Linked DNA regions of Nothobranchius furzeri. The protein of the gene in region 1 interacts with the protein of each later gene in a pairwise test. Links are inferred from orthologs where the notes say so. Each region holds a gene or a part of one and is shown on either strand. Other genes may lie near its edges.

Region 1 (2,466 bases):
TTTTGAACCACCGGCGCCCTCGTCTCTGCCTGAACTTGACTGAGTAACTTCATCCAGCTCTGACCTAGCTTCACCAGTCTGCGTTCATTAGTTAGGCCAGCCGTACTGACGTCCCATCTCTGCACCGTCCTCTTCACATTTCTCTCCCTCTCTCACACACACACACACACGTAAATATCAGGGTTAATACATTCAGTTGTGGTGCTGCTCTTTGGCATGTGTGCAGTGAGGAAAGAAACATTTGCGTGTAAAAAAAGTCACTAATTTAAAGTTCTTTACAGTTCTTTAGGGACTGTACCAGCGAGGGGACCAACTGACGCCCTGTTTTATTGCACATTTGTGTGAGATGGGTGACACGAATTCAAAATTCGAGATTAATCAATTTGCATTTAAGAAGAATGATTAACTCACATAAAAAATAATTAAAAAAAACAAAAGGGATGATAACAAAAAGGGGCGACTCAACGTAACTTGGACACATTTTTCCTAAATCTGACCAGTTTTAAGGAGTCAAACTCTGTAAGGAGCATTTGTAAATCTGATCAAGAGGCTACAAATGTGGTAAACTGTAGGGGTTAACATCTCAGGACATGTCCACAGCTCACACCACCAGGACCTTGACTTCATCCTGCTCGTCAGGCCGATAAAAGAACGGGATGCAAGGGTTCTCTCCTAGGAAGTGGGGTGACCTCTGAGCCCCCTGTGGGTTCTGGATCTCCTGGAGGAGCTGCATGATTTGCCAGGCTGTGCCATCCTCCTTTGGCCCCAGTGGTTTGGATTCAGTCTGAACAAGTCCACGTGATAGCGTCTGGGATGATGAAGCTTCAAGACCATTGGGAGGCTCAGACAGCGGGATGACCTCCATGGCTTCTGTGGAAAAGAAAAACTAGTGAACCTCTGCAAATATATAGAAGAAATTCACAATCTGTCTGAAAATGACAATGTGTTGTTGTTACAAGAGCACCTGAGCAAAAGCATCACGTTTTCTGTCACTTTAATACAGACAAAATTATTGGACCATTTTGTAAAGGGTCAGTTTAAAGATTCCATTCACCAAATTTGCCTTTTTGAAGCCTGAATTAATCAAAAATTAAATGAGAACCACTAGAAATCTAAGAACGTCTCACCAACCTTCTCAGAGGCCTAGAGGTAGAGTGTCTGATAGGGCTGGGCGATATGGTCTAAAATCAGTATCACGATATAGTGAGGATTTAACCTCGATAACGATAAATGGACGATAACTACAGGTATGCACAGAAACAAAAGTTGTCCTCTATGTTTATGTTTATTTATTTGGCAGACGCTTTTATCCAAAGCGACGTACAATTTTTAACTTGTAGGTCATGCTGTGATCTGTAGGGGAAACCGGAGTGCCTGGAAGAAACCCACGCATGCATGGGGAGAACACGCAACTCCACGCAAAAAGGCCAGGGCCGAGTTTCGAACCTGCAACCTTCTTGCTGCCAGGCAAGAGTGCTAACAACTGCTCCACCATGCAGCCCACTAGATGGGGCTGTCACATGTATTATGTTGAATCACATTTTTATGTGACTCAAGGTGGTATAGCATCTGAAATGGACATGAACGTTGCCAACCTACACAAATTTTCATTGTTTTATTATCAAATTTATTGACATGGGAAAATTTATCTCGATAAGAGTCAGAAATTTCGATAAGGATAAATTTTCGATTTATTGCCCAGCCCTAAGAGATCGTGGTTCTAGTAGAGTTGGGTCGTACCAAAGACTTTAAAAATAGGACCCAATACCTCCCTGCTTGACACTCAGCTTTGCGGGGTTGGATTGGGGGGGGGGGGGGGGGTTAAACCACCAAATAGTTCCTGAGCGCAGCCACAGCTACAGCTCACCGCTCCTCAAGGGAATGGGTCAAACGCAGAGATGAATTTCATCAGTGTGTGATAACTAATTGGACTTTTACTTTAACAGTGCCACTAAAAAGAGAAACGAAGCTGAAATTGCAGCGCTCAGTTAGTGATTTAGTGCATCTACTAGTGCTCACCGTCTCCACTGACGGCGTGAACCTCAGATCCTGTTTGGTGCTCTGAAAGAGAGTGGTCCTGTCCAACAGGAAGCAGGTCTGGGTTGACCGCCCCCATGTTGGCTACAGCTCCAGCGTAGCGGTTGTACCAGTCGTTCCTCTCAGCCACCAGCCTCATGACCAGATCCTGCAGCTCTGCTAGTTTGACCTAATAGATCAGAGGTAAGCATCAGTGAACAGGAAACACTACATTTAATTCTAAAACTGTTAAAATAAACCAAGCTTTAATGAGAAATTTAGGCTGCACAGTATCAATCTAAATAAAGACATTTAATAAAATGTTCAATTCATCGCATGAGTTTCATAGTTAATACGTGATTATTATCAAATTAATTGCAAATTATAAATGTAGGTAACATGATAAAGTTCATGCTTCTCATGTTTTAGAAATTTATTTTACTTTTCTTT
Region 2 (3,657 bases), on another chromosome or scaffold:
CCCTTTAACCCAGAACTGTGCTTATTGGGAGATAAATCTCAGTTGCCTAATGTAAATAAGTGTAATTTTTCAATCATCTCAGTGGGATTAACAACAGCCTGTGGAGTCATTTTAAGACACTGGAAAGCAGTAGAATCTCCAGAGGTTAAGGAATGGGTCTGTGCAATGGCCGAATCTGCATCATGTGAATGTATGCTCAGTAGTAGTTGTAGTGAGTGAAGACAACAGAGAGGGAACTGGGATGGATTCTGGAACTTTATAAAGACAAAGGCCTTGGGTGAAATCAAGCACGTTATGTGACTGCTGTTACTCAGACATTACGTGTCTGCAAGAGTTCTATGATTGGGACCTGTATCCAAAATCAACTGTTATATCTGTATATTTAGTACCTCCATGTTTAGTATCTATTGAGACTGCTATGTACCAGCCCCTAAAAGAAAGTTCAATACAAACTTGAATAAAAAAAAAAAAAAGAAGTGAATTGGAAGTCCAGTGGGCAGTATCCACCACCTCCATCTTGGCCACGTCATACGTCTTGTCACTCCAGGAAAATACAAAAATAGAGCTGTGAGGGTGGAGGGCAGGTAATTGACTCCCATCAAACTCTGAGCCGAGGTGGCTACGAGCTAACCAAAGCTAACGGAGGTTGGTGGGTGCTCGTATCCAGAAAACTGCAATTGACCGACTGCTACCCTTAGCTTTGTAGGTTATAATGCTTTTAAAGGGTTCGTTACGGTGCTTGAAATCCTTGACAATGCTTTTATTTTAATAACATGTTTTCAAGGTATGGAAAGTGCTTGATTTCTGTATTAAGTATTTGAAAATGTTTGAAAAACAAACTTCAGTTTTATATTTGTGATCAATTTAGTTTGATTAAAAAACAAAATTTGTAAATACTGAAAACTAGAGTTATCATTTTACCTTTAATAAATGCTGCTGCTGCTGCTCCATGGGGGTCGGCTCTTTTCTGTAACACCGGTGTGTGAGCAGCAGACTCCAGCGGTGTCTTCTGGCTTCGCTTTGTAGCAGACCCACTTTAACTATGAAACATATTTGCTTGTCACGCGCGTGTGCTTTGGTTCTAGGATCCAGCGGGATGTGATGCTTAGTTATGCAATCAGGACTGTAGCAGGGTACCCAAAACAACAGTAGGAAAGATTTTTTTCGCTGCTAAGTTTTGGTACTTTCCCTGTTATAAGCTGCAACGCCCCACTCCTCCCAATGCTGCGGTTCACATCAGATGTAGGCTGCTTTCTCGGCCACTAATTTTGTTTACAAAACATCTCCGAGTTCGTGAACTAATAAAATACCAACAAAAAAAAGTTTCGGCTGCATCTTGTTGAAGTAAACAGTAGAACTAAATGTAACGTGTTCAGATTTGTTTCACTAAACATAGAAACACCAGTCATTTAATAAAGCACTTGGTCATTCATCGCGTCTGTTTGTGAACCGAAGCTTCCATGTACTGTGTTTGGTTGCAAAAGCAGACCAGACCTACTGTGGCAAGCCATTTTATCATTTATTCAGCAGCAACACCTACTTGTAATACCTATGATACACAGGGACAATATAATTCAACCTAGTCTGTCTCTCTTGTCTCGTCAGGAAGACCATTGATAAAAAATGTGTTAATATTACTAACATGTTTGATTATAGCTTCATTGCTTAGAATTAAAATAGTTTAAAAAGTGTGTGGCTGTGTTGTGCGATAAACATCACCAGGATACACGCATGTTGCGGCTGGCAGGCTCGCTCTTCCCTGCACCTGTAGTGCTGGATGTGAAAAAAGTGATGAGAAAGCAGCTCCTTCATCGGCTCCAGGAGGCTGCACAAACTATTTGCAACCACAGTCATTCAGCGTGAATAATGTACTGCTTTCCTGGTTGTGTTTTAGCTGTTCATAGGCAATTTCTCTCTCTGTGTTAGCTAGTTGTGTGTTTTTGTTTGAGTTGCTGCTGTGAACTGGGAGAGCTGGGTGTTTGGTTTCAGGGTGGCAGACTAGAACTAAAAGCAGATGGTTAAAACTAAGACATCCTTATGTTTGAAATTCTTTCTGAGGATGAATTTAAAAGGTCTTCCTTGTTGCTTTATAGTGTTATATCTGATCTCTTTCACCTGCTTCCAATTTAAAATAATGTGATCAGGGCCAATGTCCAATCCTGTGATTGGATAAGATCGTCACTGTTAATGTGAGGTGAGGTGAAACTCTCCTCTTGAGTTCTTGTGTATTGTCTTGTCTTTAACGTATGATGCTTAAGAAGTCTGAAAATTAACCTTGGAGACGCTTGAATTTGTCACTGGGAAAAGTGTAACAACCCTGTTTTAACATGAGGCTGAGGTTTTTCCCTGGAAACCCAAAATCATCCGCATGAACCTGGTCTAGCTGGCTCTGTGTGATGTCACAATCAGATGTGGTTCTGATCCAATCAGCTTCAGATGAAACACAACCCGTGTTCTTGGAACTGTCGATGGTCACAGGAGTTTTACTTTGAAGGAACAAATCTACTTCTGCCTGAAAACAGGAAGTGAGTTTATGATCAATCAGATGGAGGGCATCTAAGTGTCCTTTACTTACTGGAATAAAACATGTAGTGTTTAATTTTCAAAAAGTTTTATTAAACAAAATGTCTGATTTCATAAACATGTATTTGGGGTTATTTATGAACAGTAACAAAAACCAGGCTCTGGAGTTTTAGGGCTGATTTATGCGTCTCCGTCTGCGTCAGTGTGGAGACACGCAACGCCATTATCCGTCCTTGCGTAGGGCCCTGGCAGGCACGCAAGTACGTACGGAGTCGAGCCCACTTTTCTAAACATCCGTCCGTCGAGATGGAGAACGCACGCTTGTGATTGGTCAGGGCATCGCTGTCGTCTACACCGCCGCCATTGCGCCCTCAAAAACATAAAAAGAGCCGAGAATAACTAGCGGCAGACACGGAGAAGCTTGAAGAATACCTCGCGAAAAAAACTATAAACGTTTAATTCCCCCGTAGCTGGAGGAGTGAAAAGATGCGCAGCAAGCGTTTAATTTGTGGACGGAAATGACAGGAAACGTGGGTTTAGAGGTGGGGAGCGCATGAAGGGGTGAAGGAGAATGAGAGACAAATTTGTCCGTGTTAAAAAGTCTCTTATGTACAAAAAACACAATATAAACACACGATCTTGGACCGATACCTGACAGGATACCACAGAACAGCGCTACGCCCTCTGTTGTCCTGGCGGGGAATTGCTTTGCAACACTCTCCAGGAGACGGAGAAGTATGAGAGCAAAACGCTTCTGTCTGTCCGTGCGTGTCTGTCCCTTGCGGAGCTGACGGAGAAGCATGAATCAGCCTTAAGATCAAGTGGGTGTTGACCCGCTTCAGCACTGGTCTGATTTGTGTGTTCTGATTGGTCTTCCAGCAGCAGCCCATCAAGCGGCGGCGAGGTGAAAGCTCGTTTGACATAAACAACATCGTGATACCCATGTCGGTGGCAGCCACCACCCGGGTGGAGAAGCTCCAGTACAAAGAGATCCTCACACCCAGGTAGAGACTGCGTCCAAGTGTGGTTCTGGCTCTGATGGGAGTTCTGGGGCTGACTGTTTTCTGTTCCTTTAGTTGGAGATCTGTGGATGTTTTCTGTTTGCCCATAACTGAAGAGGAGGACGAGCGCGAG

What was found. The genes of interacting proteins can lie anywhere in the genome.
Region 2: the proteins of golga2 (region 1) and KAT8 regulatory NSL complex subunit 1 interact in binary tests that used the Homo sapiens proteins (3 or more experiments, as listed by UniProt). The two-hybrid records come from large-scale screens. The link is inferred for Nothobranchius furzeri from reciprocal best matches to the Homo sapiens genes GOLGA2 and KANSL1.

What each region holds. Positions count from the first base shown.
Region 1 is NC_091746.1:54,867,093-54,869,558, forward strand, and holds part of golga2 (golgin subfamily A member 2), read right to left. Parts: intron 2,207-2,466; coding exon 2,020-2,206; intron 871-2,019; coding exon 602-870; 3' UTR 1-601. UniProt on the Homo sapiens protein: Peripheral membrane component of the cis-Golgi stack that acts as a membrane skeleton that maintains the structure of the Golgi apparatus, and as a vesicle thether that facilitates vesicle fusion to the Golgi membrane.
Region 2 is NC_091756.1:53,931,754-53,935,410, reverse strand, and holds part of KAT8 regulatory NSL complex subunit 1, read left to right. Parts: intron 1-3,402; coding exon 3,403-3,527; intron 3,528-3,599; coding exon 3,600-3,657. UniProt on the Homo sapiens protein: Non-catalytic component of the NSL histone acetyltransferase complex, a multiprotein complex that mediates histone H4 acetylation at 'Lys-5'- and 'Lys-8' (H4K5ac and H4K8ac) at transcription start sites and promotes transcription initiation.